Styela clava: one gene and its partners. Each later gene encodes a partner of the first gene's protein in a complex. Links are inferred from orthologs where the notes say so. Each region holds a gene or a part of one and is shown on either strand. Other genes may lie near its edges.

Evidence for each region.
Region 2: DNA-directed RNA polymerase I subunit RPA2-like (region 1) and RNA polymerase I-specific transcription initiation factor RRN3-like share a complex: the UniProt entries of both Homo sapiens proteins name them as parts of the pol I pre-initiation complex. The link is inferred for Styela clava from reciprocal best matches to the Homo sapiens genes POLR1B and RRN3.
Region 3: DNA-directed RNA polymerase I subunit RPA2-like (region 1) and DNA-directed RNA polymerase I subunit RPA12-like share a complex: the UniProt entries of both Homo sapiens proteins name them as parts of the pol I pre-initiation complex. The link is inferred for Styela clava from reciprocal best matches to the Homo sapiens genes POLR1B and POLR1H.

The regions. Positions count from the first base shown.
Region 1 is NC_135261.1:7,949,842-7,961,365, reverse strand, and holds DNA-directed RNA polymerase I subunit RPA2-like, read right to left. Parts: upstream 5,126-11,524; 5' UTR 5,116-5,125; coding exon 1,672-5,115; 3' UTR 284-1,671; downstream 1-283. Other genes in the region: DENN domain-containing protein 5B-like, read right to left, coding at 1-196. UniProt on the Homo sapiens protein: Catalytic core component of RNA polymerase I (Pol I), a DNA-dependent RNA polymerase which synthesizes ribosomal RNA precursors using the four ribonucleoside triphosphates as substrates.
Region 2 is NC_135259.1:10,557,357-10,569,092, forward strand, and holds RNA polymerase I-specific transcription initiation factor RRN3-like, read right to left. Parts: upstream 4,166-11,736; 5' UTR 4,099-4,165; coding exon 2,380-4,098; 3' UTR 2,376-2,379; downstream 1-2,375. Other genes in the region: serine/threonine-protein phosphatase 6 catalytic subunit, read right to left, coding at 368-1,285; 17S U2 SnRNP complex component HTATSF1-like, read right to left, coding at 5,257-6,825. UniProt on the Homo sapiens protein: Required for efficient transcription initiation by RNA polymerase I (Pol I). Required for the formation of the competent pre-initiation complex (PIC).
Region 3 is NC_135256.1:9,244,772-9,254,203, reverse strand, and holds DNA-directed RNA polymerase I subunit RPA12-like, read right to left. Parts: upstream 3,009-9,432; coding exon 2,646-3,008; downstream 1-2,645. Other genes in the region: spermidine synthase-like, read right to left, coding at 57-210, 920-1,012, 1,562-1,682, 1,924-2,054. UniProt on the Homo sapiens protein: Core component of RNA polymerase I (Pol I), a DNA-dependent RNA polymerase which synthesizes ribosomal RNA precursors using the four ribonucleoside triphosphates as substrates. Can mediate Pol I proofreading of the nascent RNA transcript.

The DNA of each region.
Region 1 (11,524 bases):
ATGAATTTTCCGGGACGTTTGTAGGAAAACGGTATAAAACAGAAGGTCTGAAGGCAGTATCTAATATATTTTCATCATCCTTGCCAACAGCAGGTACGCGTAGCAAACTTCTTCTCGAAATCCCGGATACAAAAAAATAATCAAAAATGTTACTTTGCCTCTTTTTGTTATCCATTTCCATTGTAGTAGATGTCATATTGACAACGGCACCAGTGACAACAGTACACGGTATCAATGTATTTTTAAAATATAATTACGGTACATATTGTTACTGGTAAATCTGTTGAAAAATGGAAGAAAATAATAAAGCACCATCAACAATTATTCCACACAAATTGCTCTAACAGTGGTTGAAAATGTCAGGCCTTCACAACTATATTCAATACAAAATGTGTGACCTTAATTAAAATTAAAGACCAAAGCAAAATCCAAAAATTGGCACTTGGCAGTGTAAAGCAATGCACTATCAGCATAAAACTGCTCTCATATTTAACTTTTTTAAATTACAGGCAGAACACCGGTTGGCGGCCCAAACCATCTCAATTATTATTACTATTATGCAAACCTTTCAAATAAAACATTACATATGTAAATCAGCTTAATAATAAAGATGAAATTACCGGAAAATGTAGCCTCAAAATAGGAATAGAGCCAGGAACAAACAACCTACATTGAGGTATATTTTAGAGGTTTTGTGGCACTTTACATATTAGAAAGTCCAAACCGAACAGTATTCAAATAATACAACAAGGAAGTTACATATTAGAAAGTCCATACTGAACAGTATTCAAATAATACAACAAGAAAGTTAGCTGAAGTTATTAGCAATGATGTGCTAAACTCATCAAAAGTGCCAAATACATTAATTAGGTTATGTTGTCTCTATTTTAAAGAACTAACAGTCTTTCAGTTTTATCATTTAATATTTATAATAGGTACATATAAGCACTTTCGGTAAACACCTATGCAAGCAAGTAATGAAATTACTGTTCAAATAGAAAGTGATGACATATTTTCACATGTCATATTTACACCTCAAAAGTTCACTTCGTAAACAGGACAAAGTTCACTTCGTAAACATAGGTTGAACAAAACTTGAAAAACATATTGAAATAACAGCTGGCTTTCCTGTTGATTAGAAATCGAATGCAAGTAAACTATAGCAGAAGAAAATTTAACCTAAAATGAAGGCCAAAAGTTGATTGAAATTTATACATTAATATGACTTGCTATAGAAACATGGCAATTAAATATTGAGAACTCAAAATGAAATTCTATTTAAAAATTTCCAGAAAGTTTTATATTTATATTTATACTGCTTAGTTCAAAATAATTGAAGCCTGAACATGGACACAAACATGATTTGATTAATAGGCCTAATTTGAAATAATGAAAACAATGAAAATTTTCCTACCCAAAATTTGGGTATGTAAATTTGAGTCACTTTTTTAAAAAAAAAAAAAAAATTTGGTTGACATACGATAGGTCACAAATAATATGGCAGTGGAACAGAGGAAAACTAAATGATTATTGTAATCAAACTTGATTGCTAATCACTGAATCCCATTGTACAGCTGTATTTACAGAATATTTAATGAAAAACACATTATAGGATGACTTCTGTTAATGAGACAATTGTTGCCTGTGGCTGTTGGCCACACTTTTATCCTTTTACCGAGAAGGTATCACAGTTTTGATGTTCATCGCTGCTAGTTCGTTGACTAAGTATCTATACACTGATGGAATATCAACTAAAACAACATTATCTGATGAACCACACGTCAAACATTTCCATGTTTTGCGACCGAGCCCATAAAGACGGCCTTTGTTCAAATCTCGCTCTAAAATAGGCGATAGTATGCTGCCACATTTCTCACATAAATGGCCCCATGTTTGATCCGATGATAATAAAAGCCTGTCATAGTTTAATATAGCACAGCCATGTGCGGCCAATGCATCTCTCTCCATTTCACCAAACCTGATTCCGCCAGCACGTTTTCGGCCTTGTACAGGCTGTTGCGTCATTTGATCAACGGGGCCAGTTGTACGAACTTGAAATTTGTCAGATACCATATGTCTCAGTCTTTGATAATAAACAATTCCAATAAATATATCCGCTTCTAGTTCAAGGCCGGAAACGCCACTATACATTCTTTCAGTACCGTAATAATTGAACCCTGCTTTTCGTAAGGTTTTACCGAAATGGTCAATAGCTGAATCGTTTTCTGAAAATGAAAATGGTGTGGCATCATATGGTTCACCGTGCATAGCCGCTGCTTTTCCAGCCATAGATTCTATCATCATTCCGATTGTCATACGAGATGGAAATCCATGGGGATTGAATATGATATCAGGAAATAAACCAGATTCTGTAAAAGGAACGCTTTCAGCGGGCCAAAGTTGGGAACAGATACCTTTCTGGCCGTGACGACTTGCAAATTTATCTCCAATAATCGGGTTGCGTGTTATTCGTAAAATTATATACACCCTTTTGAACAATCCTGTTCCTATGTTATTGCTCAAAACCTTGATGTTATCAACATATGCTGTTTCTTGTCCTTTGTAAACTTGAAGATGAAATGTTTTAGTACCGGCATTCACGTAGCTGTAATAGGGATCTCCGTAAACAAGCTTTTGGCCAACTGCTGGTAAACCATCAGCTCCTAATTTTCCAGTCTTCACCAATTCCGCAGAAATTTTATCAGATGGCAAAGTTCCGAATGTAACTTTAACTGAAATGTCATTTACTATTTTAACCAAATCAATAAGATCACCTTTATAAATAGAACCATATGCAAAACCACGGTCAAAACTAGCTTTATTCAAGATCATGGCATCTTCCATATCAAATCCAGTATAACTGATGACAGCAACCACTGCATTCGTTCCAAAAGGAAAATTATCCATTTTAAAATGATCGTACATGTATGGTCGCACCATAGGCGATTGTGGAGTTTGAATTCTGTATAATTTATTATCAGCTCTGTAAGACAACGCTTGACATGGTGTTCCCATGGTCTGTTTACCCATCTGACATTGGTACATATTCCTGGGGGATTGATTGAAATCAGAATACGGTGTCATGCTCGCTACAGCACTAAGTGTAGAATTTTGAACAAGTTCCTGATGTGTTGTATGCTCATGTGCTTCTTCAGGAATGATACAAATATCCATGTATGGCTGTTCAAATGATCCGATCATTTCCACGTTTCCTGTCTCTAAATTCAACACTGGTCGGACCATACGTGCTACGTCTGTTAATAGGAAAAGAGCAGGAAATTGTGATATTTTCTCAGTTCTTTCAATCAGGCAAATTTCAAGGGTGTTCGGTATTTTATCTTCCCCATTTGATTTCTTAGTTCTCAAAATATCCGCTACGGGTTTCGCTAGTTTTTTTGATAGCCATCCCACTAAAAGCCCATCTAGTAAAACTGGGTAATAATTAGGACCTTTTACTTGACATGAATCTGGCCCTATCATACCAAAATTATATAGCATCGGTACAATAGCAGCATTTGATGTACGATTTGTCACCACTTCACACATGTACGCTAAATGATTCATTAAACCACAAGGAGACCCATCGGGAGTATGTACAGGACACAAAAAGCCCCATGATTCGGGGAGTAATTTTCTGACTTCAGTAGTTTGCATTTCCGCAAAAAACGATCCTCTATGTAAGCATCTAAAATGTGATATGTAGCGCATAAAATTGAGCTTGTCTGCAACGACAGCTAGTCCAGTGGTTTGCTGAAGACCCAAACCTGATTTTGTTGTGACGTTTCCAGTAGCGAGAAGGTAGGACATAGCATTGGATACTTCAGGTACAGATCTCATTGCTTTTTGTATTGCAGATGACGTTAGCATTGACAGACCTTGATTTTTACTCAGCTTAGATTGCTTTTCAATAAGCCTAGATAGAGTAAGAAGCCATAGAACCATTTTCTCACGCAAAACCATTTGATATAAATGGCCAGGTAAAAGCACCTCTTGGTTTTGGACCGAATCCAAATTATCTGGGACACATTTTTTCATAGCAAGATCGAATACTTTTTGAGCCATGTGACAAAGTAAATGAAACTTATCTTCATTGTTTTTCAAGTGAACAAGAACGTTGTGTTGCAATAAATACTTCGTTATTTCAGCGTCGGTTGTCCAAGGCGGCTGACTTAGTTTAATACGAAATTTTCCTCCAACGTACTTTGTGAAATCTTTATGCAAATGTAGATTAAGTGATTTTGCTTGTCGGAGCATATTTTGAATGCACGTTTTGAAATATGTGTCATCTTCCTTGGTTTTTGTTAGTTCTTTATATATTTCAACATCAGATTTATCAACGAGGCATTTAAGCATAAATATCAGTGGAATGTAGAACATTTCTTTGCGATGAAAAATACAAATGTTTACAGTGCCATTTCGCAAGTAGTGAACAACCATATTGGCAACATTCAAATCTGGAGACACGCTTCTCATCATAATGCCAAATTCTGTATAGTTCGGGCCTCTGTTTTTCCATGAATGTCTGACAACACCAAGAGGAAAGTTACGTCTTTGCATTACTAACATACGGAGAACTTTCTCGTTTCCATTCACAATAAAATATCCACCCATTTCTTCTGCTTCTTCTTGTTTTGCAACTAATTGTTTAGGAGTTAACCCACTCAAATTGCATGAATTTGATTTCACCATTATTGGAATAACACCAAGCATGACAGGAATATTCGCTTGTTTTATTCCATCAATAGAATACGAAAAGGTAGCGTGAAGTTTAGCGTGATATGTTGACCCACGCTGTCGACATTCTGATGGATATACAGCTAATGTTCGACAATTACGAAACCCTTCATCAACACGTGGTTTCTCGATAGTTGCATCCACGAATTGAACAGAGAAACGACGATTTTGGACAAGAGCTTGAATGGGAGGAATAAGTCTGGCCGAGTATTTGATACCAGTATTTAAAAACCAGTTGAAAGAATCGACATGAGGTCTGGTTAAAGCTTGTAAAGCCTCCGTTTGACTTTCTCCAAGTTTAGAAAAATCTTTCACAGTTAAATTCTTCAAAGATGGAGTGGTACTTGATGGAAGTTTGGATTCCAAACTTATTCTAGACATGATGTTAAATCTAATGATAAAAGATATAAATATTTTTGAAGTCTGATAAATTTTGGAACAATTCTAAACGACGCTACTAGCAGAAATCATTAGAGCATAAACAGTCAAATAAATTATAGGCCTAGTTAAGTTATATTTTAATGCAGTACCGGTATGGTCTGAATGTGGAACTGTACAGCCTGACAGCTCTACTATTTCTCGCTTCCTTGTTTCTCAAGTCAAATTTAAGACTAATCGTACTGACCCGACTAACCCCAGTTCAACCCAATTTTTCTAAATATCTGACCTATATTCGGTAATAAGTTTTGTCAGTTAGTGATCAACAGAATACAGTCAGTAGACTACTGCAGTATGCAGGTATGTGTGTGTGTGTTTTATTTAAATTAATACTTTTTTTTTTTTTTAAATGGATCCACAATGTGGATTATTCAATATGTAAATAATAAATAAATTAAATATAAATAAAGATATATTGTGTACCGCAAGTGAACAAACATATACCGTATATCAGTAATATCAAGATAATTCCATCAGATATAATATTCCATATAATCCAGGGACTTCCAATAATTCATTTGTTGGTTACCGGTACCGGTAATACTTTTGGGTGAGCGGGCACGTACAGACGTAACTTACCACTTCCTGACTTCTTTCGACAACACCTTTCAATCTAACATGTGTACGTTTAAAACCTTACTTATGGTTTTGTCCGCTTTAATGTCATCTGCAGCTTTTTTTTTTTTTTTTGCCAAATAAATTCCATTTTTTTTTTTTTTTTGCCAAATAAATTCCAATGCCAAACGGAATTTTCGTATATTAATTTTATTGTCGAATTAGTATAATTTGCACCCAATTAAAACAATTTCATAATTTCAAAACACATTGCCCACAAGTTCAATAATATATGTAACAATTAAAATATAAAACCATACCATTACCGGAGTTTTGTATCATATATAGTCCAATTTATATCCATTGAATATAGGTTTATCCATATTATCAGTCGTCATCCAATTCGTGCACACATTTTATATATAGTTACCAATAATTAATCGATTTAGTTAGTTTTTGCATGGAAATTAGAAAATTAGACAGAAAATCAGAAAACAGCCAAAGTGGGTTTTTTGGCATTTCTCTATTCACTATCTATGTATGAATTAAATCAAAATGATGCATAAATTTGGACATTGGAATCTTTTCATGTACTATCCATTTAAGTTGGTGTTGCATAGAAAATGTCAATGTCATGTCACATCATGATTGACCTATGTATGAGATCATCCATATGTTCATACAATAGTAAATCATTTCTTTCACTTGTTTTCATTAAATTTAAAACTCCTATCAGTTTACATTTGAATATTGAGCGCATACTGCTTTTACTTTTAACTATTTCATCATATTTTACTGAATTTCTATATTCCCAAATTGTTGATTTTCCGCATAATATTGTGATTAATTTAGATTTGCATTCCGAATCATTTGCTAAAATAGTAATTCGATTATTTTCTACGCAGCACCATTGCCAGAAATCAACAGCCCATTGACATTCCAAAAATAAATGACATAAAGTCTCTTCAATATTACATTCACACATAACACATATACCTGGTTCATTCATGAACCAGTGTTTTATTTTATCCCCTGTTGGCAGTCCATCTGCATCTGTCATCTGCAGCTACGTACTTCCCAACGACTTTTATCACAGAGGTAGGCTGCGATTTTCATGTCTCAGGTCAACATGCAGGATAGTTCGGCGTAGTTTATTTCGACTCCATCATTAGCACAACCATAACACGAAACAAAGTTATTGGCACAACAGACGATAAAATTGTTTATAAAAATAAATAAATGAAAACTGATTATAGAATAAGGAGAGCAAACAAAACCCAAAATGGGATTCATAGCGCACAGAATTTAAATTCGAAGTGCTACGTGTTCACTAACCTAAATATAGAAAATACCGTAGTACCGTAGTTGCATTTTAGTGACTTAAACTTAATCTAATGTTTATGATAAGTTCAATTATATTGATTGACGCATGTTAGGATAGAATAGGATTTACATATTTATCCCGGGGGAGAAGAAAGCCGATAAGACGGCTTATCCATATGGCGAACCACGGCCTCTCGTCCGGTTACCATTCCAAGTCGGGTATGGGATTAGTTTTACTGTATTGTTTGTTGGACTTGGTGGTGGAGGAAGCCGTAACCGACCAGCGGTTACGTGAACCACCCAACGACGGCGAGGAGTCCACCAATCCTCTCGCACATAACCATCCCTGCATGGGATTCGAACCTGCGAACCCACGCAGAGTAATTAGAGGTGCGGTGGCGAGCGTATTCCTAACGCTTAGCCCGTTGAGCCACACCGCCGCGCCATGTTCTTCCACTTGACTCTCATTTTTGAATATTGATCATTCATTGGTTCAATTATTTTCACATTGCTTTTAAAAAATAGCTCTGTAATGTTAAAAAGTAAACGACCCGTATTTTTCTTTCTTTTGTTTTGTGTTTCACTCCATTGTCCTCAAAATCGTCGTATTCTTCTATTTTTTGTATACCGGTAATTACAGACTTTTTTATCGCTTTTCTCCAAAATGTCAATAGAATGCTATTAGCGGTACTTCTTTTTATAATTCCTGAGCCATGTGACATCCAATATTTTACCCAAAATTGCAATCCATGGTAACAGTCAAGAATTCCGGTTTGGTTGACAGTTTATGTAGGGCGGCGGCAGTGATTTCCCTACCCCCCAAATTTCAACTCCGCTAAATATCAGGTGTGACACCTTACTTTAATTCTCAACGTAAATAAAAATGTATTTGAATATTTAGGAAGTGGCTTATATGCCGGTGAAGAGGATCAGTCAAATAAATATCTATCACCACCCAAATTTGGAACTCCCTCTCCTAAAATAAAAAGCGGGGAAACATACGAACATACTGAATACCGAAGCGGCGGTCAGCAAACTTGAAGTACTACTGGGCCAAATATACACATTACTGGTAGTATGCGTGGCGCATTAGTTTCCGCCTGTAAACAAACAATCACATAAAACTTTATTCCGCACCCGCAACTTCTATTCATGTGTTTAACGCATATCTCAAATCTCATTGAGACGTGTACGTGGCTGTTTTCTCGGTATCATCATTCAAAATTTATATTGCTTTTGTTTACCTCATTAGTGTGAAGGATTATGTTAATTCTGTGTGATGGCCAAAGTGTTAAAAAATCAACTGGCAACTTTGATGATATCCGCAGTACATATCGTAACTACGATGCTGGTGAAGCAGATAAGTTTTGAATAATGTTCAACAAAGAAATATTTTCCGTCCAAGCACTTTGCCCTCTTCGCAAACTTTTCTACGTTTTCCAGCCATTTTAATGCCAAATTTTGAATATCAAACTGAACTGAAGCGCTAATTACAACTACTTGTTAAAACGTTTGACTAGTGAACCTCACGAACTAACATGTGCTTTCACTTACCGTGTTTCCCCGAAAATAAGACTGGGCCTTACTTACAGTTTTCTTTTGAAAAATAACACTAGGGCTCATTTTGGGGGAATGTCTTATATTTTTATTTATCAAAATCGAAATTACAAAATTATATTTCCTTATAAATAACACGTTTTTATTCAAAAGAACCGCCAAACATAGATTATATCAAACGTGTTTGATTCATTCAAACCATTTGTGGGAGAGATTTCATGCTAACGACTAGGTCAAAAAAAATATTCGCGTTATTGAATAAGTCTTATTTTCAGGGTAGGTCTTAATTTCGGGGAAACACGTTACTTACACTACTTGCTACAAAAAAAAAGCCCGTACAACAACCATTGTTACGAAATAAATCAATTTTTGTGTTTATGCATTGAAATGAGTTCGTTTGTGGATTACAAAGAATTTGTTCCCTGTCCGCAGTTTTTTTCTTCAAAACGAATAGTCATGGTGAGAGATGTATCCGTAACCGACCAGCAGTGATATGAGCCAAACTACAAAAGCAAGGCCAGCAATCCTCCGACACTTAACACATGGGATGCGAACAGGATATGGCAATCAGGGAGACTGATAGCACGCCCTTTCCCGAGTACAATGCACCGGTCGTCGAAGCGTGATTTAGTAAGCTGCAAAATATATTCAATTCCATGGCATATCTTTGATATCCGTCCACTAAAAAAATTTATTGTTGTGAATAAATTTAACTATGTATTTATTTTGGCATCGGTGTAAATTTTTTAAAGAAAATACAAACCTAATAATTGGTTTTGACATTCGAATCATTGTCCTAAAAATTTCTGACGGAACAATATACAATAGTAAAAATTCGAATGTAGACCGACTATGAATAGACAAACGAATATTTATGGATTTTGGTATCAACTATGTAATTAAAGTTCTCGAAAGGTTCGTTATCAGCAGTATTCCCTATTTTTACAAATTATCTGATTGAACATTTGAGTACCTTTTTTTCAAATTAAGATTGTTTGCATGTAATTAGTTATTCCACTTTTACTATATATATATGATAAATTATTCGGATTTACCCATTTCGATCAGACACTAACACAAATTTTATATGGGGATTAACATTTGAGTGCCATATCGTTTGTTATGGAAGGATGTTTTGAAGATTTTTTAATTAAATGAGGTTTTGGATAATGCTCATACACAGATCGGCGCTCGCCGTTACGTCTTTTGACTGGGTTAGTGTCTTTTTCCATTTGATTACATTTACTTATCGGCTTTCTCTCCACGCACGTATCTCATTTGTCATTGAAAAGAATTGATAAAAGCGTATAACATTCTTGCGCGCTCCAGAAGTGTGTGTACCAATGTAGAGGTAACTAATTTTGTTCGCTTACTTTACAATAAGTTGTGTAAAGGAACGGTGCCTATGGGTAGGGGGACGGGGTATACGGTTTCACCTGGCTGACCCAGACAATTCCCGAACTCGTAATATAACTGAAATAAAAATAAAATCGGAATAAATTTATGGCCTGATCTTAACCTACACATCCTACGGGAGTACCCAATCTTGATATAACATATTGTCATGGTTATACATAGGAAAATATTTTCCAGTCTGTAGTCCAGAGTATATAATCATGCACTATTTAAGGGTCGGTTCTGGAAATGGCCACGCTGACCAAGTGGTACTCTTATTGATTTGGGTCTCATTTAGAGGGTAAATAAAAAAGGTTCCGGCTTCGGAGAAGGTTAGCAAAAAGTTAACCGACTTATAGGTAACACTGCTTGTCTATATTATGTATTTTCTATTCGTCTGTTTTGAATTGCCCGCGGGTCTTGTAAGCTGCATTATCGACTGCAAAATAGATTATTTACCATATTTATAACAACACCCTGAAGCAAATTCCTCAAATATTGTAAATAGAAAAACCATTATATATATATCCACTTTTATAAATTTAATAAAAATAATCGAAGACGGCGTTCAAAGCACGTAACGATACAAGGAAATTAGCGAATGAGACTCATTTTTCTTGATATTGAGCCGTATTTGCAATGGCCCATACCTATTTTTTCTATCATGGACTACTATACTGTTAGATTTTATCAAAAGTTAAGACGGAAGTTTACCATGTAGACTTTTTTATATTACCTAAACATCAAAACAACACCGGATGGTTACAAAAAAATTCGTTGTTTGTCATACGCAAGGTAAATTTCAAAACAATATTTGATTCAACCCTAGAAAATCAAGGCCCATATCCGCGGTCATATTCCGTCTATTTTACATCGTGAAATTCACCATGAGTCAGTGACAGACTTGACCTTTGACTAAGGAAGGAAATACATACAGAGGAGAAAGTGTTCTTTTTACTGGTTGGAAAAAATAAACTTTACTTGACTTGATATGCATGCCGGCATGCCCGTTTTGCAAAAATTTTATGACTGTCTTGTAATATGTGTTCAAACTGTTGTATTACCATTTAAACGAGTTAATCATAAAAAAAAGACAGAAACCTTTTTATTTATAAACAGAAATGAGAAGCAAAAAAATTAAAAAGAATACCAGGAAAATAAAATTCTATGGTTTTATATAAAAAACTGCAAAAATCACAATATATACGGGAAGGTGAGATATCCGGATCAATGAAAAAAATATCTGCATGATTAAATCACATAAAACAACCTTTTCGTGAATTTTATGCTTAATTCAGGGAAACGTTTAAGTACAGATACACATCTAATTTAAAATCAACTTGATTGTCATGGACGGTTATAATCAAAAATCAATTGGGAGAATTATTCCGAAACTACACAAACTTCACAATAGCATTTTGCAGTAAATCAGAACGAGTAAAAATATTTTAAGAAATTGACATTTTGGTAGTTTCGTCTCACCTTTAAAGCATATTAAACTGTGTTCCAAGTGAAAAGTATT
Region 2 (11,736 bases), on another chromosome or scaffold:
TATGATGATGAACTTTTTATAAAAAATCCAGAGTTATCAAAGGAAAACACACTGTAACTTTGACTTATACAATCATATTCATGCTGCCAATAGATAAAGGGCAGCTGGTTTGCTAGCCATCCACTTGAAACATATATAACGAGTTGTATAAGTAATATACTCATATATACATGTTCAAGCGGTTCCAAAATTTATCACTTTGGGGTCTTCAAGTGCATTACAAAGTACATCCTTGGATCTATATATTATCCTTTGGGTATTGTCTATCATCATAAAAACGCCAGAGTAAACTGAAGTGCACTCTGCTAGGTTGATATGGAATGTCAACCAATAATATTCATACTGAGATGTGACAGACGAAATCACATTATAAAAAGTAAGGTGCAGTGTTCCTGGGAGGTATCACACGCATATTATCTGGAACAGCCCTGAAGAGTTTGGCTTCTCTGTCATCAGGCGTACGAACAAGCAAAATGGAAGCTATATTTCCACATCTATAACAGTAGTTAGGTGCAGACCAGACAGTGACCAATTTCTCATCGAACATATACTTGTACCCTTCATGTACAAGTTGATGAGCACGACAAATCAATTTCAGGTTGTTGAGATGAACGAATTCGTTGGTCACTTTAGATCCAAAAAGCCAGCCGGCACCTCTTGGACTTATTGCCCATGTTTCCACATCTTCAGGGTCAGACCATACAAGATCACAGAACGCTCCTTTGTGAGGAATCTCTTGCTGCCTATCGATGGTGCGAATCTGATCCATGGTTTTCACATCTGGAGATAAACCACCATGTACGCACAAAATACATGAATCAATAATAGCTGCAACTGTGAGAAGGTCAAAAACTTTGGTGCAGTAACGCCAAGCATTAGCATTTCCATATTTCATTTGGCATTCATCATAGAAACCATAAACTTGCGTGATCTGTCTGCTTTCATGATTTCCACGGAGAAGAGTAATCTTGTCTGGCCATTTTGCTTTCAGGGTTAATAGATATGTGAATGTTTCCAAACTGAAGTATCCACGATCGACAAAATCACCCATAAAAATGTAGTTGGTTTCTGGCACCTCTCCGCCAGTCCGGAACAGTTCTAATAAATCATAAAACTGTCCATGAATATCCCCACAAACAGTCACAGGTGAAGAGACAGGTTGAACATTGGATTCTTCAAGTAGAAGGTCACAGACATAATCACATAATTTTTTCAAATCATTTTCTGGAAGATATTTACAATTCTTTTCAATTTCAATCATACGATCCAGGTCCAAGGGTCCCATGATAAAACCTAAAAACATAATAAACTGTAGTGTCTTTATCTAAATGCAATTGGCAGACGAAATATGAATGATAGTATAAATTCACAGAAGACACGTTATCAAGTTATGTATAGTATCTGTGATATAGATACAGTCGTAAACATCAATTTTGAAATGCTGTATATGCCATATAAATAATCGAGGCGGTGGAGTCAGTATGGCCATTTTAAACTCACAGCAATTTTGAGCAAAATTATAAATTTGGAGAGTCAAGATCTCAGACTTTTAATAAAAGTAATAGGAGACAAAACTTTCCTCAGTTTTTCGGTTCGCTGGCAGAGTCAAAGTTCTTGTTAAAAATCAATCAAAGACTTTTCAGAAGCCTTGGAGTTCCCTTGACTCCATCTCCACAGCATTTCAAATAAGAAGTATTTATCCTGATCATATCAAAGTTATCAGTATTTAATATAATTGAACGAGAAACTTACCTGGTCTGTTATAAAAAGCTTCTAGAAAAAGCTAGAAATACTAAAATTAATTCAATTTTTATAGTGTCTGCAAAAAAAAAAGTTGTACAATGATTTGGCAGGAAAAAATGCAACAAACATTAGTAATTATGTGATTGAAATCTCAAACTGTATCAGAAAACAAAAAGAACCTAATGAGAGCAATAGGAGAGAAATAAGAAAACAAAAAGATAGTTAGTTCATAACAGGCACATAATGATCATCAACATTGGCAGCAGAAAAGAAACAATGAATGTATCAACACAAAAAATTATCACGAATAAATCTACTTATGATTTTGTATTTAAAAAATCAGAAATTTTGACGTGTTATTTCTGGTCTGAACAAATATTTTGACAATACAACTAATGGTACCAGTTCCGTTATTAAAATTGTACTTAGAATCAAATCCCAACCTTATTTCAAAGATTGGGTTGAAAGACTGCTTTTTTCTCACTTCAAAAAATATAAGTATTATAAATTTTGTAGAAATAAGATTTTCTTTGGATGCATGTACAGGAATACTTGTTTCGTAGTTCTGACTTGTATAAAACAAAATTCCATCAAAGTAAAAGGATAGGAGTTGACTAAATGTGTCTTTTAGCTCCCTTAGAACGATGACTTGTTCAATAATGAAAATCCAGGAGACATTGACTTTCCACTGATTGAGTCAATAAAATGTTTATCTTGAGAGAATATACTTGGAATAGAAATAGGGCTTGCACTCATCAGCTCATTATCAATATGATGATCTTCATCTCTCGATTCATCTTTGAGCTCTGGTACGCGGCCTTCCCACTCTTGGTATATTTCTTCAATCATATGACTTGAACTCTTAAGCAAATATGGATCAAAAGGAAAAAAGCAATCAAGTGGGTTAACCGAAGCAGAGTTTTTTGATTGACCACACACAGGTAAAGTCATTCTGTTGTTTCTTTCTATTATTGTGTCACAATAGACAAGTTGATGTTGTCTCATTAGTGAAGAAAACATACCAACCACAGTGCTTATGCAAAATTTCAATGGATTCAGACGGCTCATAATAATATGTTCTAAATTGAATTTGCGCATTATTTCAAATCCTTTTGGAAGGTCTAATATCTGTTTATGCCTGAATATAATAATATAAAATACAGCTTGGCACGCACTATAAAATGCTCCGTGGCGTACAGTTTCATGTAGAGGTCCGATATAGTCGTATAAACCTTCTCTCTCTTTGATATAGCAATGTATCCATACAGTCATCGCATTTAGTATTGTCAGTACAGAATTCAAATGTAGATATTTTGCCCTTGCAAGAAAGCTAGCTATATATGACAATGACGTCTGTCGTAATATCATAGGTGCACTTGGATCTTGAACCTTTCTCCATAAATGGTTGAGAAAAGTCTCAGAAAATGATTTTTCAAAACTGCAGATATAAAAAATTAGGAATTGAATATGACTGCTATCATGAATTGGAAGAATCACTTTGTCAAAAATGGAGACTAATTCTTTTAATAGAGTGTCTGCTTGGAGTGATAACTCCCCATTTGAATAACAAATATCATGTATGAACTGAAGTAGAGTTTCCATCACAATATCCAATTTGTCAACAAAACCCTCTTTTTTCATTGAATTATCAGTTTCCATTTCAAATAGATCATGTTCTTCAGTAGTCATTGATTTCTTTATAGATTCTCTTGGACAGTGTGTATCTAGTTTTAAGGATTTACTTATGATAAGTTCCAAGATTTGCGGTCGCAAGTTAACCCGGTATGTAGTCAGAAAAAGCAAATTCTTGATGTACCAATCCAATGCTTCTTTGTCCTTTTTTATAAAGGGATAATGTGAAACTAAAAGTGGCAAAACTATGTTAGTTGTCAATGGTATAAGGGTAAAAATTTTCTTTAATGTGCCATGGATAATATGAAATATTTCTTCCTGGGGTACACAAGTCTCACACGATGTGAGATTAGACAAGCAAGATGCAGGAATAAAATGAGTAATAAGACAGTTCAAAACTTGGAGTTGGTGGACAGAATTGGCAGCAACAAGTTCAAGTAGAAATTTCTGAAATAATTCGATTACTTCTTTTTCTCGATTGACCCATCTTATGCTCAGCATTCGATGAACTAATTTCTTTTGATCCTGATCAAGGATATTAACAATGTCAATAAATTGTTTCAACATTTCACTGAGATGACTTGATTTGATTAATGGGTCTTCTATTTGTTGTACAATCAGCATGTAATTCTCAGGAATTCCACATTTATTTTCTTCTATAACATCAGCTAGATGTCCACCGAATCGCACAGACTTTTTACCGGAGCTCTTCATATCAGTCATTATTCAAAAACTTAGATTGTACAATATATCAAATATGAAGTATAATCTGGAAAAAAATATTAAGAAATTATATAAGAAGTACATGGATAATTGAAATTCAATTTATAATATTCTGGACTGTTTACGTTTTAAGGGACAACTTCACATATTCGGTAATCATTATCAAAAATGCGGTGATATTATCCACATAAATACAGAGCAAAGTTATTTGAAATCCATGGTCACATCATCCACTCAGCAAGCATAACATTGCAGTCGTAATTTGTATCTGAAAATGGAACTTAAAGAAATACACAACAAAATCGCAACCTAAAAATTAAATCTAATAGTAACATTTCTGAATTTTAAGCAGTATAGATTTCTGGTAATAGTATTCAAAAATCAAATTTCATAATGTATATTTCATTAAATATCAAAACAATATATTATTTTTCAATTATTGTGCCAAAGTTGTTTGTTTGAATCTATAATATACATCATACTATAGTGCTCTAGCAATAAAGCCATAATATGGCTGTTTGCTCTAAGCAAACAATAATGAATAGCCTAAAAACTTTGTATGTAGACAATTGTATTTTCAAAGAATTGCAACAGATTTACTCAAGAGGTAACCGTATCACTGGTGATAATAAAGGCAGAGCCATTTCATTAAGAACAGTCAACCCAGGTGACAAAGTTCAAAAACAAAAACAAGAAAATCTGTATGAAACATTACATTACCGAATGACTTGAAGGATTGTGAGAAATGAATAATGAGAAATGTTAATCTACTAGTTGTGATTAATTTGTACAATTTCTCCACAAAGAAATAACTCAATATGTTAAATTACTTGGCAATAAAGAATTCATAGAATAGACTTTGCAACATGGATATTGATGTGATTTTGCACGAAATAGATGTCACATTGATATCTTGAATGTCTTTGCATTTTGATAAAGATAACAATGGCCTTCAAACTTTTGAAATATGATTATGGTATGTTTTGAAATGAACCAGATTGATAGTTCACTGATCAGTCACAACAGCTGCTTTAACAATTTGAGTCAGCAGATCGAACTACGACACAATATTTCAAGCAGCATATATCAGCTATCTTCCATACCCTTATGTGACGAAGTGAAGTTACATTTTCATTCAACGAAGAACATTATACAACCTCATGATTCAGCTTCACTTTTCACTTCGGAATTTTCTCCTTCCTCCATATTTTCCTTTTTATTATCCTCAACAAGAAATTTCTCCCAGTTTTTTATTCGAACTTCTCTTTCTTTATCAGTCTCTTCGATTTGATAGTCCGTAACACCATCCCACGGATCAACAGAAATTTTTCTTTTTGCAAACCATCTTTCATTCATTGCATCCCTACATTTTGTAGCTTCATCAAAATCTTTAAATGAAACGGAACAGACTCCTTGAGGATGGCGATCAAATACAAGAACCTTTTTCACATCCCCAAATTTTTCGCACTCTTTGCGAAGATCGTCTCTTATTTCTGTAATAAGTACAGCATCTTCTTCAAATTCTTTAGGATCGAACATATTTTTAAATATTAGTACTCTTTCACTTTTTTTTACAGCGTCTTTTCTTGCTAGTTTCCAGTCAAGTAGCCTTTCTTGTTCTTTGTGAAGTCGTGCTTTTTCCTTTTTGCTCAGCATTTTTGGTTTTTTTGATGGATCATAAGATCCCTTGAGTTCAAAACTTGCTTTTTGTACATGAATTCTGTATCCCCCACGCACTAAAGTATCATCTAATAATTGCATTGCCAAATCTAACGATTCTTTTTTTAAATAACAACATAAGCCATCACCTTTTAAATTACCCTCCTTGTCTTTATACAACTTCAGTTTGGGTTTACCGGTATGAGGATTTGGCATTATGATTCCACACTTTGACATGATAGAACCAAACTCTTCTAAACTTACATCTGGTGGTAAGCCACTAACATAAACATTTGTGTTTTTATCTTCCGTAACTTTAAACCAGGTAGGATCAGACGCTTTCCTTTTGGTGTCTTTCTTTGTATTTTCTTTTTTATTTTTAACTTTTTTCTCTGCCACCCATTCTTGTTTATTTTCATCCCAATTGTAAATCACTCCAGTCTTAGGATCAGTGTATGATGTCGTAGTAAAATTTCCATGCCCAGAAGGATACATAACCTGACCATCCTCTGAAACCCAAAGTTGTTTTTCATAATCCCATTTATAAAGTATTCCCGTGTTCGAATCTGTATATGTATGTTCAGTCTTACTATCATTTTGCGACTCGTTTGTACTAGTAGACTCATTATTACTGTCTTTGTTAGTTGAATCGCCATTTAGTTCTTTTGAAAGTTCTAAATCCCATTTGCCTTGGTCACTGTTCCATACATAAATAACCCCATTTGGATCTGTATATTTGCAAGGCTCTCCATTTTCATTATGTTCTGGTTCCCATTTTGAAGTTTCAGAGTTGAAATGAAAAGTTACTTTGGTTACAGGATCTGTGTAAGAAGTGAATTTATGTGATGAATCTACTTCTGTTCCAGCGTCATAATTCTCTTGATATTTCATCATCAATTCGACACTTAATTTAGGAAACCAAGCCTTTTTCTTTTCGTCCCACTCATACTCCGTTCCATCTTCATCAACTTTGACCTTTGCACCCCCGCCTTCTTCCAGAGTATTTTCTTCTTTCTGAAGTTCTATCTGTCTCTGAAATTCCTCGTATGTTTCAGGATTCATTGCCATGACTGCGTTGATTGATTGTACAAGTTATGTAATTCAGGGTAATCTAAATATATGATAAAGAAGCATTTGTAGGTTATATATATTGAAACATTATCTGTAAAGGGGCCAGCATAAATACTGACCAAAACGGATGTGATCCGCAGAATTATAGACAATATTTCAATTTTAAAAAATCTATTGAATCATTTATCCATCACATACTCGATATAAAAAAATATGACAAAAAGCTTCAATATATTGTTTTATAACCGAGGATGTCACTTCCAATTCATTCTGCTCCTAAGTCCTAAGAACAAATAAATGATCCGGGTTTATGCTTTTAATTTACCTATGGGAAATTTTCTTTATTCTTAAAATTATATCTTATCAACATATTTTGTTTTCAGGCTGAAAGTTTAATGCTATAACTATGGGAAATGAAATATACCGGTAACTATTTTTTTTATTTTTAAATTATATTTCAGCAGCATATTTTTTTTTCGGGCTTCCAGGAAGATATTTCAGCAGTAGATTAATAGTCTATAAAATTATATGAACAAATGTATAGAAGCTAGATTTGATGTATATTGGCAGCAGTTGAAAAGATATAAATGGTAACAATTTCATGAGTTTTTATGTATATTCATAGCAATACAGGTATTAAATTCATAATCCCAAACAGTGTTGATTGTTCTATGACATAATAGATAAGGTATAATAGCTTAAAGGAAATGAATGTATATAAAGGCCAAGCAAGTCATATAAAAATAACAAAATGAGTGAACGGCATATAGGCTACCCAGGTGAAATATATTCATAAATTATGCAAGACGTCATAAGCATTGTAATTAGCGATCACTGATTGATCAAAGTCAATTAATTTTAGCCAACTAGCAGCAGAGAGATTCTCTCGAGATTTGGGATCACCTTTCAAAAAAATTAAGGGTTTACGACCAGCTTTATCTAACACCTTCAGATATGAATTGACATGGGAATACGTGGACTGATAAAAACCTGGTATATCGCATGCAAGAAAATGTAAACGTGGACAATTGGACATTAAAACTTTTACACAAGAAACAACAAATCTAGATGGCTCTAATAAAGATGATTGAGATTTTAAGATCAATTTCTCAAGATGCTGACAAGTGCAAATTGAATCTAGCAAACGTTTGGTGATCAATAACAAGTCATGGTTTAAGCGTAATTCATTCAAATTCGGTAAATTCTTCAATACATTTCCCAAAATCCTTGGATATTCACATAGCGATCCTTCTCCTACATGACACAATGTTAATGAAACCAATTTATAATTGTTCATGAAAATTGTGGAAATTTTGTGTACATTGTTCAAGTGTATATTCATTAGAGATAGAACTTGAAGATTTTGTAGTTCACCAATGCATTTTAAGGTTGCGATATCATAAACAGTATTCAAATGTCCCATCAGCTCCAATTTTCTGAGATTTGAACAGGTTTGGAGTGTTAGAGCAAAATCAGTGGTGATTTTAACTTCTGGACGAGTTCTTGAAATTCTCATACCTCTGGTACTACTTGACTTGTCAATTTCTTTGCTCGTGGTCCCAGAAATTTGATCTTCGGTCATATTTGGCAAAGTAATTGATAATGCATTCAATTTGGGCATGCTTTTGACAGACGTGGCAAGTAGATTAAAATGTACTAATAGTCCTTTCAAATTGAGTTCTTCAACATTTTGGAACCTCGAAAAATTACACCAAAACATGTCAGAAATAGTAAAAACTGAACCTATATCATCTTCAAGATCTTTAAACCCAATATTTAAGTATCGAAGCTTTGGATAAACGCAATCATGCAGAAGAGCGTGTATAACATCACCATAACAATTCTTACACAGAGTACAAATTTTAAAATCTACATTCAGGTATTCAAGGTTAGGCAAAACTGAAGGTGTATTTGCTTTACGACAAGGATGATCAGTGTCATATGGAATACCCCGCACAGTTGGAAGTATTAAATTCTTTAAATTTTCTAGTTTTATCAGTCCGTTGTTAGCAGCAAACCCATTTTCATCATAGTGAAGATTGGCATCGGAAAGCATTCGACAAATGCTTCCAATGTTATTATAATTTACAAAATCAATCACATAAGAATACATTAGCCTTGTTGTTGCATACGGTGAAAGATGATAATCCATGATAAAATTTTTCTGTTTTTCAGGTATATCAAATGAAACAGAACTTGCATATTTTAATGCGAACAATTCAAAAAGTATTGATACATAAATAATTATGTTTGCTTCACCACATACATCAATATGCAGGGTGTCTAACTTTATATTTAATTTTTGAACGTTCAACCTATATAGCTCCCGTATATCTTCGACATAAGAGGATATTACCAAGCTCTTTACATTTGGCGTTTTGCACAAAACAGATTTCAACTGAATGGGAGTTAGAATGCATCCTCTCAAATCCAACGATCGAAGAGCTAGTAAATTTGAAAACTTTCCAAACATTGATGATGGAAACCAATGACAATTATGAAAGGATAATTTTCGAAGCCATGACTTCGCATTTCTCAAAATTTGTAAGCATAATCGGTCGGACATAAAGATACAATTTTCAAAGTTTAATGAGAATGTCAACATTCGATCAGAGCAAAAAGAATGAAACTGTTTGTTTACAAACTGAATATTTTTCATTCGATCCTCAAGAGAAACATCTCGCAGTATCTTGATCCATATTTCATTCGGCAATTCACAAAATATGTTTGACATGAAGCTGTGAGGTTCTTTTACAGTACTGCAGTATTAATTTATTCTATATCTAGACATTCACGACAAAAAGGACATAAAAAATGGATATTGTTTATTTGTAGCTAGATGGTTTATTCAAATACTCCATAATATTTACAGATTTAAAATGGAGACTTCTGGAGGGCAAGCAAAACCTTTAAAAAAGTTTAAAACATGAGAAACGAGAATATCGATCGTAGACCTAAGACTTATCGATCTTAGATCGGTAATTAGTTAATAACTCGCTAATTATACGACATAATTAACCCAAAATCAATAGGCTTCTGGTCCGAGATATGATGTATGCACATGCAAAATTTGGAGCAGATTCAACCTCGCGTTCGCGAGATATCGCGTTCATCTAACAGACACATACACAGACAGACAGACATACATACATACAGACATAAATACCTATCAATATACTTACGGATCTTAAGATCGATAAGTAATAATGAAATATCATGGGCCCGCCCACCAACACACAGACAAAAATAAATTACAAAAGACACAAACCTAGTTAAAACGAGGCTTGGGCCAGAAATAATCAAACAGAAGATACCAAAATGTGTACTGGTATAGAAACTTCCGGGCTGTTATACTTTTGAAACACCTAAGCTATTGCAGTAATAATGACCTATTCGATACGGTATGCCAGCAATACGCTGTTAAGAAATGTTTACCGGTATTGTAGCGATACATATAAAAAAGCACTCAATTCAGCAATTTAATGCTTGACAGGGGCTTTGCATGAAAGAGAACACTGATTTTATATCTAATTACTGCAGTACTGAATTAGGTACAATCTGACCAAATGCTGATGTGCGGTAGCTTTTCCGGCTTTTATTAGTGGTAGTAACACTAACACATAATACAGTACTACTATTTTAATAAACTACAGGCAGACAGAAGTACTCCCTCATTAGTAGGCTAATCGTGTTTTGATCCAGTTTCTGTCACACAATAATTAAGTTATCGACTCCAGCATCTAATTTTCTTTTGCTTGCATGTATTTTACCACTAGTCTGCTAGTATTGTCAAAAAATTATCTAATGGGTTACCATTTCAAATCCTTTAAACGGAATTAATTCTATTCCGAATGGTATAGAAAGAAATTTGCCAACAACAACTCGATCGTAATTAAAACTGTAAAGTTACAACTGTTACGTTTCGGCCCGGCATCACATTTATCTGTGTTATAATAGTAATGTTAGCAGAGCTGTCTGTCATTCATGATCAAACTTTGGCATTATACGCAAAACAATAAGCGTTATCATGAAATATAAGAATATGGTTATAGGTTTAACAAAATTCTTCATCAATGAGAAACTTGCTGCATCTTATCGTTTTTATAATCCTGGGATCATGTTGTGCAGTTTTCAGCATTGCATACACTTAAACCCTGAAACAGCTTATTGTTAGATTGATTAAGGTCAGTTCTATCATTTTTATACCTAAAATATTGGTTTGTTCTTCGCATTGATTCGTGACTTGGTGGGTCACCAAAATAGGACAGTGGGTCACGCGGGTTAGTGGTTCGCCATCTCTGTTACATATAATTACCAATAATTATTCGATTCAGTTCATTTTTGCAGATTAGAAAATTAGACAGAAAATCAGAAAACAGCCAAAGTGGGTGTTTCAGCATTTTTTCATCCACTATCTTGAATCAAAATAATGCACAAATTTGGACATTTGAATCCTCCCATATAATATTTATCAAAGCTGGTGTTGCATAGAAAATGTCACATCATGATTGAGGTGACATGCACTCCAAGATGGCGCACAACCTGAACTCAAGTTGTGTAACACGTTAGGGTTCAGGTTATGCGACATCTTGGAGCGCATACTTCAGGAGTACCCAATAATAAATCATTTTTTTTCACTTGTTATCAATAAATTTAAAACTACTATCAGTTTGCATTTGAATCCTGGAATCTGTGAATATTGAGCGCATAGTACTTTTACTTTAAACTATTTCATCATATTTTACTGAATTTCGATATTCCCAAATTGTTGATATTCCGCATATCATTTCATTTGATTAATTTAGATTTGCATTTCGAATCATTTGCCAATATTGTATTTTGATTATTTTCTATGCAGCACCATTGCCAGAAATCAAAAGCCCATTGACATTTCAAAAATAAATGACA
Region 3 (9,432 bases), on another chromosome or scaffold:
ATTTTCAATTAGAAATTCCCTTTTTTCCAAGTAATTAAATTCAAAATCATGTTTACCTTCTGGATCAGAGGAGTCAGTAATAATGACGTCAAAACTATTTGGATGTTCCTTCATAAACTTAAATCCATCACCAACATGCTGTGTGAGCTTAGGATTATCATATTGACAAGCCATTTTAGGAAGATATTTCTTGCACATATCAATAACAAGCTGAAACAAGAAACCAAATTGTAACTCAATTACTCAGTCTCCTCAGTGTATAAAATATGAAACAGAACGTTAATTTCATTGACTCAAAATAGATACCTTATTAGACTTACGGAGTGGATCTATGGATCGTTTTTTTATGTTGTTGTTGTTGCAATAAACTCTATTTTCCCCTCAACTATTGGACCAATTTATTTGAAATTTTCAGTGGATAAAGTTTGTTGTTGTTGCTAGATTTTTTATTTCCAAAATATCTGTGGACTTTGTGGCATTTTGTTTTTCACTTCAAAGTTTGAATGATGAGTGATGACATCATCAAAATTAAAAATTGCGTACCAAGGCTCCATGACCATATCTCAGTGATCTGGTGGTCAGACTACCGGTATTGTAAAACATTTAATATTGCTTTGTTTTGGCCCCTTTGTCCAAATATTTGAGCATCAACTCTCTTGTTTTGATACAAAATTTAATAGCTTGTGAATCCACAAATGATCTGACTCTGATCCAGCTCTTAATTAACAAGATTCTTACAAAAATAGGAGACAGGTGGAAATATGTAACATAATATTTTCACATTGCAAGATTGATTATTGAACATTGTGGTTATGTGATCAATACTGCTTTTATATAAAAAAAGCTTTTGCCCTAAAAAAAAAATCCCTCAGTCTTAATAAGATATGCATATATTCTCAAAAAAAAAAAAAAAACAGACCCCATCAATTTCACACTGTGTTACAGTTTTTACGCAGTCATGCTTCAAAATCTCTCTAACAACACCTCCATCTCCTCCTCCAATAACAAGAACCTGCAAACAATATAAACCATGAAGGAGTGAGTGCATTACATAGACTGACAGTGCTGAGACCAGCACACACTGAATTGAAATTGTGGCCCCAGATCTGACTATAAGACTTCATTGCTTACTTCAGAGCTGGGCTCCAAGCCATTAAGGTTTTCTCAAAACTATGATATAGCCTAAGCCTTTCAAATTTTAAAACTGAACTTTTAAATAACAAATTCAACCTGGAAACTTTTAATTAATATTATAAATTAAATTTGAAAAAGCATAATCCGAAAAGAATAGATTCATGGTTTGAATAAGTATAAGAATACTAAAATAAAAATTTATAATTGAATGGAGGCATTACAACTTCTTGTAGTTCCAGGTATATTCATTATGAAAAGCTTGGCTCTAACGAATGTTACCGCTTCGGCTCACCGGTCCTGGGGTGACTAAAATTCTGATGATGCATACTTGACAAAGATGTATTATAGCAAAGTCAGATACCTTTCAACTTATGTTTTATATTTTTACCATAAAATATCTGAAGAAAAAATCAAGTAAAATACCAACATTTTCCGGATTAGGATGGCTGCACAATGGCACATGTGTAATCATTTCTTGGTAAGAAAATTCATCTCTTTCTGTACATTGGATAACACCATCGAGAACAAGAACATTTCCATGATCTGTGCTGAAACCAGATTTTTACTTTAAAAAATGCATATGCAGTAATTTAGTACCACAAGGCAGCAAGGTATCAGAATTTTAGCTCATTTTTGCGTAAATGCGTAAAAAATAAGACAAATATGTTTTCAACTTTAAAATATATACTATATAACGGGAATACTATTTCTTGCCTTATATAATTAATGCAGTGAGTGGCATATGCCTTAGCAAACACAAAAACTATTCTACATTAAAAATGAAGTTACCTCTTAAAAATAAGAACATCTTGAAATTCAGATTTTTCGTGAAATAAAATTTTTTCCACTTTTAATGACATGCATTGGCCTGGCCAAAACTTATTCACTTCACGAAACCATCCATCCTGAATAAGTGCCATATTGAAGTATTCAAAGTATTTTTCAATTGTAGGTAATATTTAAGCATTAAACTATAACTGAATTAAATTGAAAAAATTTTTTGTTCATGATAACTCTCCTAAACACTCCTATTTTTTATAATTCGATTGAAATTTTTTTACCATCAGTTGTATAGCAAGAAAACAAAACAGAGTCCAGTCAAAGTCTTGTATTTTAAAACAAGATTCACAGTGCTGTATTCACAGCAAAATGAATAGCTATGCTTATGTATCAGTGTACACTAAAAAAATTAGTAGCAGTCTCCTCAATTGAATCAGAACTCATTATTACATTAATAGAATTAGGATATGATTTCAATATTTTACTCAGCAAGAGGAAAGTCTATAATACATCTTAATATAACCACTCTCTCATTTAGGTTCCAATCTATGTTGGGATTTGGGAATGAAAATAGTCAACCAATTATTCATTCCCGATGCATGAACTTGACACATCGATAAAAATAAACACAGTATAACTGCAACAGCATCTTATCTTTCCCCGCACTCATCATAAATTTTCCAGTCTGTGGCATCCAGACACACATTTTCATATGCATTATTATTGAATCTCTACGAATCTTCCTTTTCTAATGATCCACATTTCAAGCAATAATAAAATATGGTCATTCCTTCATCTGCTGATCGAGTTTGTTGAGTTTTGTATGTCATTTCATTATGCCCGCAATGTCCACATAGTCTTTCTAACTTAGGACCAGAAGATTTGTCATCCCTTGCCTTTTTCTTTGTAGATTTGCCTCTAATTTCATTTAGTATTATATCAGCTTTAGCTACAATCATATTATTAAACTCTGAACATGGAATTCTTGACTTACAGATGCAAGTAATGTATGATTGCATAGAATCAACAGGCAGTGGTAAAATGGCTCCACATTTTGAACAAAAACCATCTTCTGTTGTCATACATTTATTCATATTTTTCTAATTACAGAACAGAGCTAAATACCTGTATAAAAACATTGTTGAAATTTCGCATTAAGGATGCGAGACTGAGAGGCAGTAGGGAGGATGGTTATGAGTTAGCCACCATGCAGCCATGGCGAGTTGCCCTCCACTCGTAAGGATTATTTATGCTAACATTTATGCCATGGTTGGGAAAATTGTAAACTGCATACAACCAATACTGCAATAGCAAATTTTGTTGTGCCCTCGTAAGACCCGATGGACTGGTAACCGAACGAGAGGCGGTGGTTCGCCATATGATTAAGTCGTTTTATCGGCTTTCCTCTCCCTCGGGATAAATATGTAAATCATATCCTATCCTTTAAAGTGGCAAGTGGCAACATGAAACATTTCAGGGACTCAAGTAACCCCCATGAATATACAAAAAAAAGCAAACCTAATTCTGGAAAGACGAAATAATCTTTAAAGTGTAGCAAGTGGCAAACTCAATAAGTGTGGGTCTCATGTACTTTCTTACCTGAATAACTTCTAGTGGGCGTGGCGTAACAATTTTTGGATATATGATTCCTGACCCCTATCTGATGACGTCATCCAAAAATTACGTCACTGCGACGTCACAATAACGAAATACAGCTTGCCAAAGTATAGCGACGGTCACCCGTGATGGCGCCTACGAGTATGTCAACAAACTCAATACGTCAGCGACCTCTCTCTTATCGGGGTCGTTGTACAGAGCTCAAAATAAACACAAGAATCACAAGCGACTAAATTGTCGCCGAGGAACGTTCACGATATCCCATTCTGACCAATTTCTATCCATCAATAGCTCATGTATCGTGCTACAATCTAAAATAGAGCGTTATACCATACAACTCTAACCAAGGCTTTAGACAAGCAGAAAATACATGTTATTTTACGCGATGGTTGAAGTTGGGTACCACACACATAAAGACTTATTATTTTATGTCCAGCAATAGCTCATGTATTGTGCTACGATCTATTAATAGGGTGATATACGATACCGCTCTGAGCTAGGCTTTAGACAAACAGAAAGAACATTTAATTCACGCAATGATTGAGGTTAGGTGCCGCAGACATAAAGACTTGTTATTTAATATCCAGAGACTGATCATGTATTGGGCCACATTTTATTAATAGGACGTGGAACGCTTTCACTCTATGCAAGGCTTTAGACAAGCAGAAACCGACACATTAATTTGCCTTAGCGCAATGAATGTAGTTTCTTACCTCGATAACTCATACTTATCTTAGCGTAACAATTTTTGCATATATCATTCCTGACCCTCACCTGACTTCGTCATCCAAAAATTACGTCAATGCGATGTCACAATAACGAAATCGAGCTTGCCCAATAATAGCGACCATAATGCAATCGTGATAAATACGCCTGTGTGTCCGCTATGGATGTAGTTTCTTACCTCAATAACTTATACTTATCTTAGCGTAACAATTATTGCATATAATAGTCCTGACCCTCACCTGACTTCATGTTCCAAAAATTACGTCAATGCGACTTCACAATAACGAAATAGTGCTTGCCTAATAATAGCGACCATAATGCAATCGTGATAAATACGCCTGTGTGTCCGCTATGGATGTAGTTTCTTACCTCAATAACTTATACTTATCTTAGCGTAACAATTATTGCATATAATAGTCCTGACCTTCACCTGACTTCGTCATCCAAAAATTACGTCACGGCAACGTCACAATAACGAAATAGAGCTTGCTCAATAATAGCGACGATTACTATTAATGCCACCTATGGATGTAGTTTCTTACCTCAATAACTTATACTTATCTTAGCGTACCAATTATTGCATATATTATTCCTGACCCTCACCTAACTTCATGTTCCAAAAATTACGTCAATGCGACTTCACAATAACGAAATAGAGCTTGCCTAATAATAGCGACCATAATGCAATCGTGATAAATACGTCTGTGTGTCCGCTATGGATGTAGTTTCTTACCTCAATAACTTCTAGTTAACTTAGCGTAACAATTTTTGCATATAATATTCATGACCTTCACCTGACTTCGTCATCCAAAAATTACGTCACTGCAACGTCACAATAACGAAATAGAGCTTGCTCAATAATAGCGACGATTACTATTTATGCCACCTATGGATGTAGTTTCTTACCTCAATGACTTATACTTATCTTAGCGTAACAATTATTGCATATATCATTCCTGACCTTGCCCTGACTTCGTCATCTAAAAATTACGTCAATGCGAATTCACAATAACGAAATAGAGCTTGCCTAATAATAGCGACCATAATGCAATCGTGTTAAATACGCCTGTCTGTTCGCTATGGGTGTAGTTTCATACCTCAATACCTTCTATTAGGCTTAGCGTAACAATTTTCGCATATAATATTCATGACCTTCACCTGACTTCGTCATCAAAAAATTACGCCAATGCGACGTCACAGTAACAAAATAGAGCTGATCACCCGTAATGGCGTCTGCGACTACGTTAACAAACTCAGCGAGGGCAGCGGCCTCCCTACCACACACACATAAGGAGGGACTTGTTATTTTATGTCCAGCCATAGATCATGTATTGGGCTACAATATATTAATATGACGTTACGCGATATCACTCTAAGCAGGGCTTCAGACAAGCAGAAACGGACATATTAATTTACGTGCACATTATATGGGTGTATTTTGCCACCATTTATCAGTGAGGTTTATATTTTAATTTGTTTTTTGTAAACTATACATTTTGGATAAGATAGTCCGGCAGAATCGGGCCTTAACATTGTTTTGGAACATAAAGTTTTTTTTTATTGTTTAGATATAATGTATATGACATATATAATGATACCCAGGTGGGTGTGGAGTAATCTTGAGCAATTTTTTTTTATAGGTGGATTTAAAGTATTCGGTCCAAGATGACGCACATTCTGAACCCTAACCTGGTAACCATACAGTGTTCAGGTTGTGCGCCATCTTGGTACAAATACTTCAAGAGCGCCTTTTTGTTAAAAACAATTATTTCATAACTACATGGTTTAGGTTTGCATACATAGTAACATTGAATCTCCTTACAATGTCAGAAATTCAATTTTAGTAGAATAAATGGTAGTTTATTTCACTAATACAAACCAAGATCCATCGACAGCATCTATCCACTTTCTATTGCGCTCTTCAAACTACATCTGGCATTTCGTTTTCCTAGTTTAAGCTTAGGGACTTGGGAAATATTTTATTAGTTGAATTGGATTGGAATATTTGACCTCGTCTTTCACTCCGAACAAGGCCATGTAATACCATCCACTGGTATCTAAAGATGTGTAACGTGTTTTCTTTTGGAAGAACCGCAACTTTTCAGTGCTGCATTGACTTTGGCAAAATTAATATATCCTTGTGGAGATAGAAGGTATGCGTATGCGAAACCGAGATGTGCACCTGTTATGCCAACATAGTTGAGTCAAACGTTTTGAATACTAGTACATCACACGCATATTCCTGCGTGCTTCGGTTATACGTGGTAACGAGCACATTTTTGCGCACATGCATCAAATTCCATTTGATTATTGAGCTATAGGTTTTTGACGAGCTTTTGTGTATGATTTCATTCCATAGAATTTGTATGCTGTTCTAAAGAATACTAGTTTCAGCTTTTTCATTCATTCAAACCGCGTGTTGGAAGTAAGTTTTGTAATATTGCGGGTTGGTTTCCAACATCCTTAAATCGGTGATGCCAGTAAATCTTTAATACAAAAAGATCCGTAACATCTGCAATAAAAACAGCAGTACCCACTCAAATGACAGCTGGGGGATGGATACTCTTAGTATCTGCTCCATCGCGTGCCTCTTACAGTCTTACCAGTTTACATGAGTGCCAATTGGTATCTAAGCTCAGCCAGAGACAAAAAGTTTCGGACTGCAGTTGGCGTGACGAAATGTTTTTAAATATATATTCTACAATAAGATTATTTGATTGCATACTACTGAAAGTTTCGCCTTATATGTCTTTTCCCTTTGCACTATTCCTTTACTGATATTCGATAATATGACGCTCATCTGACATAGTTCTTAAAGTGTGTAGATGGGTACAATCTTTTTCACGCTGTTCAGCTGGGAATGCGCGAATATATATAAGAATTGCTAATATTGGTTTATAATGCGATGAAATCCCATCTTAGCATTTCTGCCTCTCGCAATTGCTGCGTATACTTATCGGGGAAGTTCTGTGGCGTGGTTATCAAATAAAAAAAAACATGGAAGTATTTTTTCTACTTCTCTACTACTATCAAACCTTGACATTTTGTGAAAACTTTTTTCCATGCAACCTTTTTTAAAACATCCCCAACAACCACAATTACTTCTGTTATTAAACTTCCGAAACAAACACATAAAATCATCAACAGATGAATATCACCAAGTAGATATTGCTGAATTGATCTTTATTTTACCATTTTGCATGTAATTCTTTTTGGTAAACCTGTTATCTATCGTAAATACAGCACATTTGACAATGTTGTAGTGTGACTATTTTAGCCTCACATTTTTGAAATTTGTAGTTAGAGCTCTTGGGGCTCTGTCAAACAAAGTTACATACAAAATATTGGTTGTAAATTGCAAAACATGATCATGTTGTTGGAATAACTTGGCATTTTACCACCCGTATATCATTCATTGTTGAGAATATTATTGAAATCATAAAATTTAAAAATCCGTTTTCGTGAAATTTTTGTTGTAGCTGAATTCCAGGGACAGCATGACAACAGGCAAGAGAAGCACGATCGCCTCTTTTAGTTTATGACAGGGTTTCATGAAAGGGGACCCCGTCCTCCTTGGAGGCGCTGATCGGTTATCTGGGAGCACGAACAAACAGATGGAAATGCGAATATATAATAACAATGTATTTTTATAGAAGAGAAGAAGCAAAAGTGTTGAGAGTCTTTGGTAGTTTGAAAAGCATTGGCATGGAACATAAGAATGAACTACATTCTTTCCCAGGGATATACTATAAAATGTAGCAATTTTCTCATTCTTGTTCTCGTGATATCATTATCTTTCACTGCGTCGTCGTGATCATCCCGCTGCATAACAATTCTCGCCAACAAATAATTGACTGTTCTCCACCGGGTGTATATCCACTTGAACCACTGGCGACTACATTAGCAGGCTTGTACTGTTAATTGCAACAAAAAACGGGTATTTTGAAATAGTACTCTTTATTTTACGCGTATGTTTCGACAGTATTTCCATATACTGTATATGGGTCGCGACCCAAAGCTGGGCTCAACAAATACCTAGAAGGTATCGATTTTATTTCCTAGTAAATTTGGTGCTTGCGTAGTTTGTGCACCAAGATTGCGCACAACCTGAACATAGTATTGTAACAGGTTATGGTTCAGGTTGTGCGTCATTATGATGCACAGGTTTGACAAAAAACACTAATACAAATATCGTAACAAACGTAACGACAGATAGATGAGAGATGCATCCTGGAAATTAACTCAGGATTGTGAACGAATGCTTAATTATCGATTGCGCTTGAAGTCGAATCCATTCCAAATTTCAACAGTTAGAAAATTGAAGAGCCTATAAATATGGTCTTCTTTCATCCTTTTTCACATTTCCCCTGAATTACTTGGAGATCAAATACTATACCACTTCCTCCACTATGTCAAATTTCTGTTAACCAATTTTAGCGAGCGAGTGTTCAAAGATCGGTATGAGAACAGAAAACATTTTTCTTAATATTTCGCTGTTAGTGAACCGCAAGATGAAAAAGGTCTGGAAACATTGTAGTGGTATTAACATTTGAAGGATCTTAACATTGTTTCACGTCTTATGAATAAAGGTAGGACGAATACATGACGTACGGAAGGACATCAAATAACAAGGCTTTAGTTGTGTGGTAAAAAAATACACTCATAGCGCCATTATTACGGCTTTATTATCGTCGCTATTATTAGGCAAGCTCTAGTTCGTGATTGGGAGGATGCAGTGACGTAATTTTTGGATGACGAAGTCAGGTGAGGGTCAGGAATCATATATACAAAAATTGTTACGCTAAGCCTAATAGAAGGTATTGAGGTATGAAACTACACCCATAGCGGACAGACAGGCGTATTTAACACGATTGCATTATGGTCGCTATTATTAGGCAAGCTCTATTTCGTTATTGTGAATTCGCATTGACGTAATTTTTAGATGACGAAGTCAGGGCAAGGTCAGGAATGATATATGCAAAAATTGTTACGCTAAGATAAGTATAAGTTATTGAGGTAAAAAACTACATCCATAGGTGGCATTGCTAGTAATCGTCGCTAATATTGGGCAAGCGTTATTTCGTTATTGTGACGTTGCAGTGGCGTAATTTTTGAATGACGAAGTCAGGTGGGGGTCAGGAATGATATATGCAAAAATTGTTACGCCAAGTTAAC